Linked DNA regions of Lonchura striata. The protein of the gene in region 1 interacts with the protein of each later gene in a pairwise test. Links are inferred from orthologs where the notes say so. Each region holds a gene or a part of one and is shown on either strand. Other genes may lie near its edges.

Region 1 (7,696 bases):
GGGATGGGACTCCCACTGGGGAGCGAGGGCACACAGCTCACTATTCCCACAAGAACAGGGTCAAGACAGTACAGAAATTCCTTCAGATTCCCTTTCCCACTAGTAATTCCTTGTGTAGAGATGGTTGTACTGTATGAGACTTAGTCCAGTTCATTCCCACTTAATCCCACAATGTATTGGGGCAGGAATTAATTCCTTACAAGGCACCGTTTAAACTTTAAGTTTACTATCAAAGAATGGGGTGAGGGAAGTTGGTTCAGTCTCAGAAGGAGATGACCTGGGTGTTTTTTGGATGCACCTTTTCCTCAGAACTTTGTGTGCCCGAGTTCCCCGGTGGGGAGGAGGAGGAGCAGCCGTGGCTGCTGAGGAAGGAGCTGTGGAGTTTTCAGCACTGGCTGGAACCTTTCAGCAGGGCTGAGGGGCTGCACGTGCTAGCCCTGATGCCAAAAGGAAAACACTGGAACACCCCAGTGTGGAGCAGCTCCCTGTGAGCACTGCTGGAAACTGCCCAGAGCAGAAGCTGGATTTTGTTTCACCAAACCTTTGTGCTGCTCTCTCTGCCTGTGGGGAGCAAGAGCTCTGAGAACTGCTTGCCTGAGGTGGAATGCCACGGTATTCCTGCTTTTTCTTCATTAATTGCTTGGAAATGGGAGGTTTCTCTCTTCTGCTTTTTCAAATTTTCATGACATTTTGTGTAAGTATGGGAAGGGTATGCCAAGGGTTTGCCCACGCTGCAGGGTCCCACAGCTCCTCCCACGTGTGCAGGCTGAGCAGAGCTGGGGCCAGGTTGTTTACAGCAAATTCCTTGCTCCAGCTACTTCAGTCAATGGGTTTTGTTGAAGAATTCAAGCATTTCCTTTGCTTTGAAGACCCAGTAAAAAGGAGTGTAACCCAAAACCCACACGTGTGGGAGGACAAAACCTCCTGGGTCCCCACAGATTGTAAATATCAAAGTTTACTTTGTGGAGCCTCTTATTTAAGGATTCTTCCTCTGTTCCAGTGAGAGCCCACAGGTGCCATGGGAGAGCACGTGGTCTCAGCACCTCTCACAGGGTCAGGAGCAGCTCCCAGGGCCCCTGGAAGGGGACAGGGGCAATGTGCAAGTCTGAACTTGAATTTGAATTTTAGGCAGTATTGCAACTTTGCTGCAGTTTGTTTCCACTGATGGGTTTATTGGTTCTATGAACCACGAGCAGAATTAAACTCATTAACCTCCTTCCAGGCTCTGGCCTCTTTTCCTGCTTTTCCCTCCCCCTCTCTTCCCACTGCTGCTGTTTTTTGGGCAGCTTCTGGATTTGGAAGCACAGCTGAACCCTGATTTCAGATGTTCCCAGGGAATCAGCTCTGGGAGCACCTTGGGTCACACAAAGAGCAGATCCCAGCCTGGTTATGAACACAAGAATAAGTTTAATGCACTGAAAAGAAAACCCACACATCTGGGCACAGATGGCACATCTGGGCCAGCAGAAAATGCTCTGCAGCCCCTGGATGTTGCTCTCCCCAAAGTCCAGGTCAAGGGTGCATCCAGGCTCTGCCCAGCACAGGCAGGGACAGCAGGAACATCCTTGAGGTCCCACAGGTCACCCCAAAAGGGCCTTAGGGAAGAGTCCACGTGGGAAGGTCCTACAGGAAGCTTATCTCAGCCTCTCTCAGTGGAAAATGATCTTTTTGTACTTGGAGTTGGGGATTTGCCCCCGTGCCTTGAGCCTCCGGACAGCCTCCCTCATGTGCTTGGGCTGCAGGGGGGGCAGCTCCCCCCACTTCTCACACACATCCAAAGCTGGACAGATAGACAGACAGACACACAGGTCAGGGCAGGGGCCAGCTGAGCTCTGCCCAGCCCCTGCTGCTGCTTCAGTGCAGTTGGGAAGGAACAGGAAATGTTTGTGCTTGGGGTTTGCACCAGCTCCTCCTCCCTGACAGGAGTCCCAGGGCAGCAGGCAGGACAAAAAGCTGCTGAACCCCTCAGGAACTGTGGAGGGGGTGGAGGAGCTCAGAGCCTCTGGGGGTGGGTGGGCTGTGAGCCCCAACAGCTGAGCAGAAAGAGCAGGCTCAGCTCCCTGTCCCAAACTGATCTGAGCTCATCCCACAAAGGAACTGGGGCAGGTCTAGAGGCTTTGGAGCCACTCTGTCCCTGCAGCACTAATGGCATCCCCATCATGCAGCTGCTCTGGGGCTGAGGGACGGAGTTGCCAGCCCAGCTTCTCTTCCTGAGGAGAAGCAGCAGTGCTGGGGGATCAGAGGGGCTGTGGCAGCTTCTGCTGTGAGCCAGAGCTGCTGGAGAACCATGAAAATCCTGTTCCACACCCTGCTCCAAGCAGGGAATTCACCCTAGCCTCTCAGCAAGGTGCCACTCACCTTCTTCCACCACCTCCCCAACAAACACCTTGGAGATGCCCGACATGGCAATGACGACGTTCTGGGACACGGAGGTGCCGGTGATGGACTGGATGAGCTGGGACAGGGACAGGGACAGTCAGATCCCCACCCCCGTGACCTCCCAGCCCATCCAGCCCCTCGGGGAGCCGCGGCCCCAGCTCCCGCTGCGGGGATTGGAGCTGGAGCCCCCCGGGACCGGCCGTGGCCCAGCCCCGCCGGGGCTCCGGCCGCTCTCGTACCCGTTTGATGGCAGCCTTGGGGAAGGCAGAGCGCCGGTACATCTCGTAGCGGTTCAGCTGCTCCTCGGAGAAGGAGGAGACCAGGATCCTGCGGGGCACGCAGCGATCGCTCCCAGCCCCGCGGAGGCCGGAGCGGGGAGCGCCGGGCTGGAAGGCGGGGAGGGGGATCTGGAGGGGGCTGCGGCACCGGGGCCACGATTCCCGAACCCGCAGGCACTCACTGCATCTTCTGGATCTCGTCCTCGTCCACTTTCTGCTTCTTCTCCTTCCGCTCCTTCAGCTCCAGCTTCACCTTCCGGGCCGCACCCGCCTGCAGCCCCGGCTCCTCCGCGTCCGCCGCCTCCCCCTCCGCGCTCCTCACCTGGGCGGGAGCGCAGCGCTCGTTCTGCGGCCCCGCCGCCCGCCCCGGCCCCGCTCCCGCTCCCGCCTCACCTCCCCGTCCGCCACCTCCGCCTTCAGCTCGCTGCCGCCGCCAGCCTCCCGCACCTCGCCTTCTCCCGCCGCCTCTGCGGCCGCCGCTTCGGGCGGGGAGGCGGCTGCGGGCGGCGGCTCCGGCACAGCGGCGGCGGCACCGAGCGCGTCCCGGGCCGGGTCCGCCATGGCCGCGCCCGCGGCGCCTCCTGATGACGAAACACTGCGGGCGCCGCGAGGGGCGGGGCCTATCGCCACGGGAACGTGACGCGGGGCGCCTCGTGATGACGCACGCGCACCGGCGAGGCGGGGGGGCACGGCGTCTGTAGTCATGGCAACGGAGGTGCGACAGCGCGTCCCGATGACAACGAGGGCGGTGCCTGTTGCCGCGGCAACAGCGACTCGGCAGCGCAGCTTAATGACGCGCGGGGCCGGGCTTGTCGCCATGGCAGCGGGGCTGCGGAGGGGGCCCCGTGCGGGCCTCACCCCCGGGCTCTGCGCGCCCGGACCGACCAACCCCGCTCCGAGCCGCCCTCCGCACGCCTGGACCCTGCCGGGACACGGCGCTAGGGCGGCCCCGCGGGGAAAACTCCCCAGAGCCGCCCGAAACGGGCGCGGCCGAGGCACGGCGGGCACCGCGGGGGGCGTGGCCGTTACAGCTCCCCGCCCCCGCACCGCCCATCCATCAAACCCCGCCCGTCGGGCCGCGCCCTCCGAGGCCCCGCCCCGGCCCGCCCCGGCCCCGCCCCGGAAGTCGCGCGGGCGGCGGGGCCGCGCCGGCCATGGGGAAGGAGCAGGAGCTGCTGGAGGCCGCCCGCACCGGGAACCTCCCGGCCGTGGAGAAGCTGCTCTCGGGGAAGCGCCTCAGCTCCGGCTTCGGCGGCTCCGGCGGGGGCGGCGGCGGCGGCTCGGCGGGGGGAGGCGGCGGCGGGAGCGGCGGGAGCGGCGGTGTGGGGCACCCGCTGTCCAGCCTGCTGAGGTGAGCGCGGCCCGGGGACGGATCCGCGGCCCGGCGGGGGCTGCTGCCGCTGGCTGCGGCGCTGCGGGCCGGGAGGGCAGCGGGAGCCGCGGGTGGCGTGTGTGGGGCTGGGGGCGTCTGGGGGGTTTGGATCTTGGGGTGCAGCGAGGGGGCTGCTGGGGCCGCAGCGCTGCGGGGCAGGCCGGGGTCTGTCCCCGCTCTGCTCCCCGGCTGGGACGGGACACTGCAGCGGGGCGTGGGAGCTGCGCACCCCTGAGCGTTTGGTGGGGCCGGTGATGCCGGGGGGCCGTGCCAGAGGGAGCTCCTCGGGCTGCTGTGCCCTCCGGAGAGGGGAGTGGGTGACTTTCGAGCTGTCTGCAGCCGGCAGTGCCAGCGCTGGGTGCTGCCCGTCCCCCCTGGCACCAGCCGCTGCGGCGCTGGGAGCTGCGGTGTGCCCGGGGAGGCTCCCGCACTGCCAGAGCTGCGGGATGACTTTCGCGAGGTGTCCCGGCCCTGCGCTGGCATTGTCGCGGCTGGCGGTGACACTCTGTCGTGCCTGGGCTCGGCTCGTCCTCAGCCCCATGCTGTGGAATTTGCTGGTTGAAGCTCTTGGACTTTTGTTTCTCTTCCTCGTGTTTTGGCATCACCTCTCGCTGCTGGAGCTGCAGCTTTGGGCACTTTGGGAATGCTCCTGGTCCCTGAGCAGTTGGTTTGTACGGGAGGTGTGGAGGAGGTTTGTGTCCAGTGCCAAGTGATACTGTTGCTACACAACCTGGCTGTTCAGAGAGATGTGACTTGCCCCTTTTTGGCCAAATTTCATCTGTTTTTCCTTTCACATAAACCAGTTGGATCCCTGCAGGTTGTGCTGGTGGCAGAAGCTTGCAGGCATGCGAGAGCTCACCCTGCCCTGGGGCACACGTTTGCCTTTCTGAAACGTAAATCTACCCTTGGGTCGAGCTTTGTTCTTCTCTTTTGCTACATTAAACAGTCTGAGCCCTTGTTGGAGTGGGATGGATGTGCCCACAGGGGCCTCAGATCAGTGCAGTGGCTCAGTGCAGTTGAACACCCTGTGAGCTGAACCAGATCCGCCAGTGCCCAACAGCACCTGGGCACGATGGGGCCTTTTTCTGCCTTTTCCTGGACAGTGCCCGTGGTGCCATGGTCCTGGAGCAGTCCCGTGGTGCCAGAGTGAGCCCGGCTGTCCCTTTGGCTCTGACCTGTTACTGTTTCTCACATGTGGACACTGCTTCGTGCACAGCCTGAAGGAGGGTGCCTGTCACAGCTGTCACTCGTTTTCCATGCTCACAACCATGGCTGTAGCTGCTGGTGACACTGGACCTGCCCCTTTCTCTGTACAGCTGGGATTTGTGCCTGTGACAGCAGTTCCTGGTCTGGCTGCACACTGTGGGGCATGGCAACGTGTCCTGTTTGCCACCTGGTGCTATTTAGGAGCTTTGTGACTGTTTCCCACCTCCCGAGCACTTGCTGGGCTCTGGCTCTGTTATGGACTCCTCCAGCTCGTGGTGAGGTTTTGATGAGAAGCAGCTGCTGAGTGTCCCTGCAAGGAGAGGCCAGGGAGTGCAGGAGACAGGCTGGGACAGGCTGCAGGGACCAGACAGATGAATTTTAGGGTGGAGAAAACATCACCTTTTCCAATGCTAGAACATGGGAACTTTTCTGATGTAGGATTTTGCCCTCCTTGGTTGTGGGGAGAAGCCTGCCCTCAGTCAGGCCTGTGTGCTCTGTGTTTTCCCTTCCTTGGGCAGCCCGTGACCCTGCTCAGGCTGATCCCTGCTCCTGCCAAGGCTCCTCGTGTCCGTAAGGATCTCTCCTGACACAGGAGCTGCTGAGCTGCTCTCCACTCCCAGAGCAGGAACATAAACACTCTGCTGGGCTGCTACCTTTGTTCTTTTCTCTGCCTGATTTCAGGACCCTATTTTAGTTTCTGTTTAAGTCCCACTGTTTGGATAACCTGCTCCCAAAGCTCTTCTCTCCTGAGGTGCCTGTTGCAGCTCTTTTTGTCAGTTCTGCCTTTCCAGTGTCTCAAAGATATAGTTTTGGATGGGGTACAAACCAGGCATTCCCTGGAATTCCCACATTACACCTGGTACATGCTGTGCTGGCACCTGCTCTGAGCTGGCACTCACTGGTTTGGGCCATTTCTCTTCCAAAGAGAGCAAGTGCTGCTCCATGAAGTGGTAGAAGATGGCCCTGGCAGTAAATTCCTTGCAATGTGGTGTTTTATCAGGTAACCTGAATTGCCATTGGTCTGTTATCAGTTAAATGTGAACTTTGTCACAGTCTGGGCTGTGCTGCTCCTTCCCAGGCTGAGCAGGGCCCGCTGGGTGTGGAGGCAGCACAGATTCCAATCACCTATGGCTGCAGGTGAGCAGGAAACAGAATGGGATGGAGTGGGGTAATCCACAGGAGGAGGAGCTCCAAAGACAATTTAAGTCTCTGGAGGGGTGAATGTGCCAGGTGCAACACTCAGGGCACTGGGCAGGAGAATAAATCCTGATGGGAAGCTGATGGGAATGGGGAGTGCTGACAGAGAGCTGGGGAAACGAGGAGGATGCAGGAGGGGGAAATGGGAGTGTGGATCTGCCAGAGCAGATGGTGGGCTCACAAAGAGGTGATGGCTGCCAGGCTTTGGAAGGCTCGGCTCCCTGCTGGCGTCCACGCAGCCCCTGGGATCTGCCAGGGCCTGGGGAGCTGCTGCAGGCCTGGCCCAGCAGTGGGAGCAGGTCCTGGCTCCCTGGCCAGGCCCGGCTTCTCCGGTTCCAGCCATGGACCGTGGCACAGGCAGGAGCTCCGTGTGAGGAGCCAGAGAGAAAACCCACTCTGTGCATGCACAGCTTGAGGCTTAAGAGCAACAGCAAGTCCAGAAATCAGAGATGGTCTGTGAATCCTTGAGGTTCCTTGGGGTTATGAGCCACTTCTGCATCGAGGCTGCAGAATTTGATGTATTGTGGTTTTTTTTTTTTAGTGGTTTACTGTGAAGTTAGGGGTGGGAAACAACAAAACAGTCTGTGGCTGAGCTATCAGGCTGCATTCAGGAGGTTTTGCCAGGAGCAATGAGGGATGGGTTGTGTTAAAGCCAAAGCTGCAGAAGCAGCTTTTTATTTCCATCTATTGCTGTGAAAAGTCTGGATCTGTGTTGCCAGAGGGGGAAGCTGAGGCTGCTGCTGAGCCCCAGATGGGATATGCAGTCCCCAGGGAGCGTATCAGGGAGATGCTTCTGCTGGGGATGAGGAGTTTGGGTGCACGTCTATTGTGGGAAGGGTCGAGTGCTGCTCCAGAGAAGCCACAACCCTTGCTCCAGCCCATTTTCAGCTGTTGCTGCTGGTGAGGGGGTCTGGTTGGTTTAAAGAGTGATGTGGCAGGATGGCAGAACACTTGAGGTGGCTTCCAACAGTCCAAGGGTGGTTAGGAATCAGAAAAAATTTAAAAGTGGGGTTTGCTATTTGTTCTGGTGCTGCTGATGGTTCACAGCAGGGATCTGATGGTGCCTCCTGGGGAAGGCTCCGACTGTGCCTGTCTGCTGCCATTCCCCGGGGAAGGCACACGGTGCCAAGGATTTCCCCCTGGGGAAGGGGGGGATTGCCCTGTCCGAGGTCAGGGCCGGGCTGTCTGTCTGTCCCTCCAGGTGTCCCCAGGCCGTGTGGGTGAGCACACAGTGAGTCCTGCAGTGTCCGGCAGAGACAGCAGC
Region 2 (7,696 bases), on another chromosome or scaffold:
CGGCAGACCCACGGCATCCTGGAGTACTACTGTCATCTGCTGCAGGAGGATGGGCTGCCCCCGCTGCGCTGCGCCCTCTGCATCGGGGGCATGTCTGTCAAGGAGCAGATGGAGACCATCAAACAGTAAGACCTGGGGGAGTCTGTGGGGCTGGAGCTGCTCTGTTTTCTGGCAGGGGCTAAGGAGTGTCACCCTGGCTTCAGGACACTGTCAGGGGGAAAATGGTGTGCCAGGGAGGTGTCCTGCATGGAGCAGGAATGCTGAGGGACTGACTGTGGCCTCCTCTCACCCCACAGTGGGGTACACATGATGGTGGCAACCCCTGGGCGCCTGATGGACCTGCTGCAGAAGAAGATGGTGAGCCTGGACATCTGCCGGTACCTGGCCTTGGATGAGGCTGACAGGATGATCGATATGGGCTTTGAGGGGGACATCCGTACCATCTTCTCCTACTTCAAGGTACTGAACTGCCACGGTAGGAGCACCCTGAAGCTCAGTCCTGCATATGCCAGATTGGGTGAGTACTAAAGGCTTTTTCCCTGTGCAGGGCCAGCGGCAAACCCTCCTCTTCAGTGCCACAATGCCCAAGAAAATCCAGAACTTCGCCAAGAGTGCCCTGGTGAAGCCCATCACCATTAACGTTGGGCGAGCGGGTGCTGCCAGCCTGGATGTTGTGCAGGTGAGGTGTTTGGGTGCTTCCTCGTGCCTGTGTGGGAGACCAGAAACATTCATGAGGGCACTTAATTTCTTTCTCTGCCAGGGAGCTGGAATTCATGGCCCTCCTTCCCAGTTAAGGGGTACCAAGCAGTGGCAGTTCCTCTGCTGCCTGACCCATGTCTCTGCTTGTTTCTAGGAAGTGGAGTACGTGAAAGAGGAGGCCAAGATGGTGTACCTGCTGGAGTGCCTGCAGAAGACCCCTCCACCTGTGAGTATGCTGGGGACAGTGTGGTCATGCTGGGGTGTGGGGGGAGTTGGGAGGAGGGACCCCCTGTGCGGAGTGGGCCTGTGACTGAGCCATGCTGGGGATCAGCAGTGCTGTGTGCTCTGCTCAGCAAGAGGGAGTGGGCTTCCCCCGGGGGCTGTGCTGGTGCCAGCAGTGCCAGCCTGCAGAAGGGGCTCTGAGACAATGCCTGTGCTGCTGCAGGTGCTGATCTTCGCAGAGAAGAAGGCAGATGTTGATGCAATCCACGAGTACCTGCTGCTCAAGGGTGTGGAAGCTGTGGCCATCCACGGAGGGAAAGGTCAGTGAGGGTCCCAGAGAGGCCTGGGTTCCTGGTGTGACCCCACTCCTGCCAGAATTGTGTGTGGCCACAGAAGGTCCCAGCCTGGAGCAGTTGTTGATGGTGTGAGGAAGGGCTGTGACAGTGTCAGGAGTGAGCTCCACGGTGTACATAGCAGGCATAAACACAGTGCAGATCCCTATGGGATGTGGAGGCCCCTCTGCTCCCTCACTGGGAGAAAGGCAGCCTGAGGAAGTGATGCTTGACTCTGAGGCCACAGTGTTTGCTGCAGTAGGTAGGGCTGGGAGCTCTGCCATGGCTGATCTCTGCTGGGCCTTTGCAGATCAGGAAGAACGGACAAAAGCCATTGAGGCCTTCCGGGATGGGAAGAAGGATGTCCTGGTTGCCACTGATGTCGCTTCCAAGGGCCTGGATTTCCCAGCCATCCAGCACGTCATCAACTACGACATGCCAGAGGAGATTGAGAACTATGGTAGGCACTGGGCCTTGTGGGAGGGCTCTGGAGGCCAGCAAGGCTCTGTGCCTGTCTCTGCAGTGTCTTGGGACAGGGATGCTCTGTCCCACTGTGCTCACCCGGGGCTGATCCTGTCCCTGTCTCTGCAGTTCACCGCATCGGGCGTACAGGCCGTTCAGGCAACACTGGCATTGCCACCACCTTCATCAACAAGGCCTGTGGTGAGGAACAGCACGGGGCTAGGGGCTGGAGGAGGCAGCTGGGCAGTGCCAGGGGGGTGTTCTGAGCAAGCAGAATGGCTTTGCCTGACCTGTGTCTGTGCCCCCAGATGAGTCAGTGCTGATGGACCTGAAGGCTCTGCTCCTGGAGGCGAAGCAAAAGGTGCCACCGGTGCTCCAGGTGCTGCACTGTGGGGACGAGACCATGCTGGACATCAATGGTGAGAGACCCCAGGCTGACACAGGGACCCCTGTGGGGCTGCTGCAAAACCTGGGCTCCAGACGGGACCCTCCAGCTCCCAGTGCCACAGCATTGGGAAGACACTGGTGTAGCCCCTTTGCTCTGGGGTGGGGGCTGCTGTCCTGGTGTGGCACTGTGCTGCCCTGGCGTGGCATTGTCCTGGCCCTGACCCCATCCCTCCCATTGCAGGTGAGCGGGGCTGTGCCTTCTGTGGTGGCCTGGGCCATCGCATCACCGACTGCCCCAAGCTGGAGGCCATGCAGACCAAGCAAGTCAGCAACATCGGCCGCAAGGACTACCTGGCCCACAGCTCTATGGACTTCTAGCCTGGACAATGTGCTGCCCCTGGGTGGGCCTGGGCTTCCTTTCAGCCTAGGGGCCTGTCTTGTACTGCTGTGGCCCCATTTCTAGAATTTTGGTCACTGGGACTTTGCCAGCTCAGGCCCTGCAGGAAATGTATGGAGCTGTGCTGCAACAGCCCATTACATCAGCGGTGTGTTGGGCAAGCAGGTAGCAGTGCCTCAGGGCAAGGGAAAGCCCCAGGTGGGGCCACTGGTCTGCTGCCTCTGCCAGCCCCCTGAAGTGGTGAGGTCATGGTCTTGTGTTGCTCCTCACAAATCCACCCAGTTTCTCTGGGCCCATCTCCCTCACCTGGATTTGTGCATTCTCAGGTGGCTGTTCCTGTCTCCCCAGACATGCTGGGAGGATGCAGCCAGGGTGAGGTGGAGCATGCTGTGCTCATGTCAGGCACTCCCCGAGGTGCTTCCTGTGCTCTGCCCCCGCGTTCTGCCCCACTGCCCTGCTGTGAGGGGGAGGGACAGGCACACGGACACCTCCTGCAGCCCAGCCTCTGCCCCCCATCCCACACCCCAAAAAGGGGAAGTCTCTCAGAGACGGAAGTCTGCCCCATGCCTTTCCTTCGACTGCAGCAGTCACATTTTCTCTGCTGCGGGTAGCCTGAGTCCCTTATCCTTGCGCTGGCTGCCCAGGTGAACTCGGCCCATGGAGAGACCAGTGAAGGATGGGATCCTTTATGTGCAGCACACCAAATTTGGAAAGGTAAAGGGTGGATTTGGGGTTGGTAGAGGGTTTGCTCTGATTTGACATGATGCTGGGCCTGGGGCTGGGCCCTTAGCAGCCTGAGAAGGGGCAACTGCAGCAGTGGGGGAGCCCTGGGCTCAGCAGCCCCATAAGTGGGGTTTTCCCGTGGGGCTGAGGGGACTCATCTGTGTGGGCACCCACTCTGGCTCACGTGTGTGTTGGGTTCTTCTTGCTTGGTCACCACGAGAGTCTCAATGGAAGAATAAACGTGTTAATATGGCGCAGCTTCAGCATCTGTGTGTGTGTGTGTGAGCAGGACCCTGGGCCAGCACGTGGGACGTGTCCCTGTGACCTCCATCGGCCTGGCCCTGTGGGGCCAGTGCCATACAGCAACACCCTCATGGCTTGGGCTGCTTCTCTGTGCTTTTGGAAGGGGCACTGAGTGCTGCAGCTCTTGGGGCAGGGTATGGGTGACATGGTGAGAGTACCTGGGGTCGGGCCAGCTCCAGAGAGCAGTTGGGTGTTGGCAAAGTAGGTTCTGCCGGCACACTGGTCACGCCATGGCAGGGTGGCCATGTCCTGTGGGGGTCTCAGTGGATGTGTGGGGCTGCAATCGCACTCTGACCTCCCTGCTGAAGAAGAACCAAGCCCTGAAAGTGCAGCAGGCAGCCGTGTGTGTGAAGAGCTGGTGCCCTGCCATGTAGGAGGCAGGTGGGCTGGGGGTGGTGGGTATTTTGGGTGCTTGGCTGCATGTGGTTCCTGCAGGGCGGAGGCTCTGCTGCACTTTTGAGGTACATGGTGGCACGCGCCCCCGCTATCCCATGACAGACTGGGAAGGTGCTGGTGCTACAGATGCTCCCCTGGGAGGAAGCAGGCTGCTGAGCAGATGTGAAGCTGCCAACAGGAGCCTTAGCAGCTCAAAATGGCTTTAATTTGCATCAGGGTCTGTCCTGAGAACAGCTCGAGAGCTCAGCTATAGGTCGGCAGGCCAGCACTTGCAGCAGGGAACAAAGAGCAGGACCTGGTGCTCAGGGAGCCAGGAGTGAGTGTGACTCACCCAGTGAGCCATGCCAAGCCTGCTCGGGGCAAGGCGCCCCTCTGCCCAGCTTTGTGCCTGCCCTGCCCCACAGTTCAGGGGTCTGTGCTGGCCCCTGTTCTCTGTGCCCTCCAACAGCATCTGGTGGGTGCAGGCCAGGACTCCCCAATGCCCCTCATGCCCTGTATGGAGGGCAGTGCTGCCAGATGCAGCAGCCAGCTCTTCACTGATCCATTTTTTCCCTGCTTTGCCCTTTCCATGCATTAGAGGTCCTGGAGGAAGATGAGAGCCCAGCTGTTCGCTGCCAGCCCGTCCGGCGTGGCCCGCATGGAGAAGTTTGATGTGCGGGATGATGGCACGATGCCAGAGAAGACATCCCTGCAGCGGTGTGCCCGCCGGGTGATCCGCCTCTCTGACTGCGTCTCTGTGGGCCCGGCGGGCACAGAGAGCTGCCCCAAAGCCACCGCTGCCTTCTACCTCACCACCACGGAGAAGAGCTATGTGCTGGCAGCCGAGCAGCGCGATGAATGGATCACCCAGCTCTGCCAGCTGGCTTTCCAGGTACCAAGGGGTCTGGCAGAGCCCAGAGCCCTACTTGGGTGAACTGCGAAGCTCCAGGGCAGGCAGGGGATTTGTCCTCCCCACCCCCTGTCCCAGGTCATACTCACATCTCTTTGTTTCAGGGTGCAAAAGAGACAGTGCCGAGTAGTGCCAGCACTCAGCCTGGCCCCGCTGTCCCCATGGAGGAGAACTCCCTCTACTCGTCCTGGCAGGACCGTACGTGCAGGGGTGGTGGAGAGGGCTGGGGTGGGCTGCAGCTCAGTCCTGCGGTGCTGACCTGTGGCTTGCTCGGCTCTCACAGTGACTGAATTCTTGGTGCTGGTGGTCCAGACAGACGCAGCCACCCGCTGTGGGCTGCACGGGCACTACCTGCTCTCAGCCCTTCCCCAGAGCCTGACGCTGAAGGACCCCCAGTCTCGCCAGCCTCTGCTCACCTGGCCCTACCCCTTCCTTCGCAAGTTTGGCCAGGATCAGGTGCGTTCCCCACTCCCTTTTGGGGCTGTTGCCTGCCCAGGGTGGGTGGCAGCCCCTCACTCTCGCCTCTGACCCTGCAGGCTGTCTTCTCCTTCGAGGCTGGCCGCCGCAGTGACTCCGGCGAGGGCACCTTCACCTTCAGCACCCCACGGGCCCCTGAGCTCTGCCGGGCTGTGGCTGCTGCCATTGCCTGCCAGCAGCAGGGCAAGGACACCCTGGACCCCAGACTCTTCTGTGTCTCAGAGCCCCAGCTCTTTGCACAGGGCCTTGAGCCCCAGCCCTGGGGGTCTGGGACCGATGATCCCCAGCCCAGCCCAGCCCTGGGGGGGACACAGCCCGCCTCCCACCCCCCTGCCAACCTTCTCCGCTTCACCCCACCAGAGCCGGAGGGCTCATGCCCCATCGTCTATGCCTCCATCGCCCGGGGCCAGCAGCCCCTCTTTGTGTCAGGGCAGCCAGGCTCTGGGGAGCCCTGGGCCGTGGGGAAGCCGCTCCCTGAGCATCTCTACGAGAACATCTTCACCGCAGAAGCACATCCAACCGGGGCCCAGGAAGAGGAGGAGGAAGGGCAGTGGGAGCTGGGGCGCCGGCAGGCCCCCGAGGGCCACAGCAGTGATGGGGGGCCCGTCTATGACAACCGGGCCGCCCTGGCACAGAACCCGCGGGCCGCGGGCTGGGGGCGCGCAGGGCAGGCGGCGCTGTCGGGGCGCTCCAGCCACAAGCCTCACAGCACCCTTCGGGCCAAGCTGGTGCGGCTGCTGAGCCGGGAGAGCCCCGGAGCGCGGGACTGGGCTTGATGTGGCCGGTGCCGTTCGGTCAATAAAGGCCCTGCCCGGACTCGGCTCCGCCGCTGCTGCCGGGGGCGGGGGGGGCGGGCGGGGGCAGCTCCAGCCTCCCCGCTAGGGGGCGCCGCCGCGCCCGCCCCGCCAGGCAGAGGCGCGCTCGGGGATTGGCCGAAGCGCCCGCTGGCTCCGCCTCCCCCCGGTCCTATATTAGTGGGGCCGGGCCGGGCGGGGGCGGTGCCCGGGTTCGAGTCCCGCGTCCGCCCGCTCCGCTCCGCTCCCGCCCGCTTCGCCGGGCCCCGCTGGCCGCGGGTGAGTCCGGGGAGCCGGGCCGTGCGGCTCCGTCCTCTGCCGGGGGGATGGGAGTGTGAGGGGTGGAGGGCTGGGGCTTGGCTTAACGGGAAAGCGGGTGGTCAGGGTCGGGCCCGTGTGGGGCAGAGCCGGCGTCCCCAGCCCCTGTAGGGGGGCGGCGGTGTGGGATGGGGAGGGGTCCCGAGGCGCCCCGGGGTAAGGGTGGGACCGCCCAGCAATAAGCAGGGCTGCCCAGCCTGTGCACGCCGGGGACCCCCGTGCAGTCGGGGAGGGTGTGGGGTCTCCGCCCGCCCCGTCCCGGCGCCTCGCTGGGGCTTGCGCGGCTCCCGGGCGCCGGGAATGCCTGACACGCAGCTCTTCCCCCGGCCCTCCCGAGCGGGGAGCGGGCTGGTGTCGTCTTACACGCCTTATATAGACCGCACCGGCCCGGGGAGAGCGGGGGCACGCTGGCCCCCGGCCCGTGCGAGGCGTGGGGAGCCCCGCCGCCGGCCCTGGCCGCCCTCGGCAGGAAGGTCCTGGGGCCGTTCGGAGGGGTCTGGCGGCTTCTTCCAGGTAAAAGGTGACGGGAGGCTGGTGCTGGCCCATCTGTCCGGAGCCTTGGCCGGCTGACAGCTGTCAGGCAGGGGAGTGCCGGGATTCCCTCCTGCCGAAGCCCCGGAGATGGGCTCGCTCCCAGGGAGCATCTGCTCGGCCGGCTGCCGGAGCGCCAGCCCCTCTTCTCTGCCAGGCGCCTCGGGTGGCATCACGCAGCTCCTGTGCTGCGGCTGCTGCTAATTCATCCGGCAAAAATGCTTCTGGTTCCTACCGTTCTGTACCTGCTGTTGATTCTCTGCGGTCTGAACAGCCTTGGCTCTCAGCAGCAGGAGTTCCTGGGGTGCTGCAAAGGAGAGCACATCCCAGGTTTGGGAAGAGAGCAGAGCCCACAGACACTCCGCTGTGGGTGGCAGCAGGGCTGTGCCTGGCTTCCTGGCACTAGTCAGTGTTAGCCTGGGCCCCTCAGCTCTGATGTTGCTGGAGGAGATGCTGATGGATTTGGGGTGCGTCTCTAACCACAGTGTAGGATGATCAGGGTGGAGTTACAGCTGGAAACGTGACCTGCCTCCTGTCCTACCCTGCCAGGCACTGAGCCTTCTCCTCGCCTGCTCTTCCTGCATTGTTTCCACATACCCTAACGCTGGAATCACATCCTCTTCCCTTGCAGAGATGGGCGACATGGAGTCCTACAAGGTGATGCTGAATGGGCCGGCACCCTGGGGCTTCAGGCTGCAGGGAGGGAAGGATTTCAGCATGCCACTCTCCATCTCCAGGGTAAGAGAAACCGAGGCTGGTGACACCC

The links. The genes of interacting proteins can lie anywhere in the genome.
Region 2: the proteins of ANKS1A (region 1) and DOK3 interact in a two-hybrid assay, tested with the Homo sapiens proteins (2 studies listed by BioGRID and IntAct). The link is inferred for Lonchura striata from reciprocal best matches to the Homo sapiens genes ANKS1A and DOK3.

What each region holds. Positions count from the first base shown.
Region 1 is NC_134632.1:4,360,541-4,368,236, forward strand, and holds the start of ANKS1A (ankyrin repeat and SAM domain-containing protein 1A), read left to right. Parts: upstream 1-3,802; 5' UTR 3,803-3,811; coding exon 3,812-4,008; intron 4,009-7,696. Other genes in the region: TAF11 (transcription initiation factor TFIID subunit 11), read right to left, coding at 1,650-1,780, 2,359-2,455, 2,619-2,706, 2,840-2,979, 3,051-3,218. UniProt on the Homo sapiens protein: Regulator of different signaling pathways. Regulates EPHA8 receptor tyrosine kinase signaling to control cell migration and neurite retraction.
Region 2 is NC_134617.1:3,219,481-3,227,176, reverse strand, and holds DOK3 (docking protein 3), read left to right. Parts: upstream 1-3,156; coding exon 3,157-3,213; intron 3,214-4,498; coding exon 4,499-4,792; intron 4,793-4,914; coding exon 4,915-5,008; intron 5,009-5,093; coding exon 5,094-5,266; intron 5,267-5,346; coding exon 5,347-6,063; downstream 6,064-7,696. Other genes in the region: putative ATP-dependent RNA helicase DDX41, read left to right, coding at 1-125, 297-459, 548-679, 854-925, 1,145-1,241, 1,564-1,713, 1,845-1,916, 2,024-2,134 and 1 more; PDLIM7 (PDZ and LIM domain protein 7), read left to right, coding at 7,564-7,668. UniProt on the Homo sapiens protein: DOK proteins are enzymatically inert adaptor or scaffolding proteins. They provide a docking platform for the assembly of multimolecular signaling complexes. DOK3 is a negative regulator of JNK signaling in B-cells through interaction with INPP5D/SHIP1.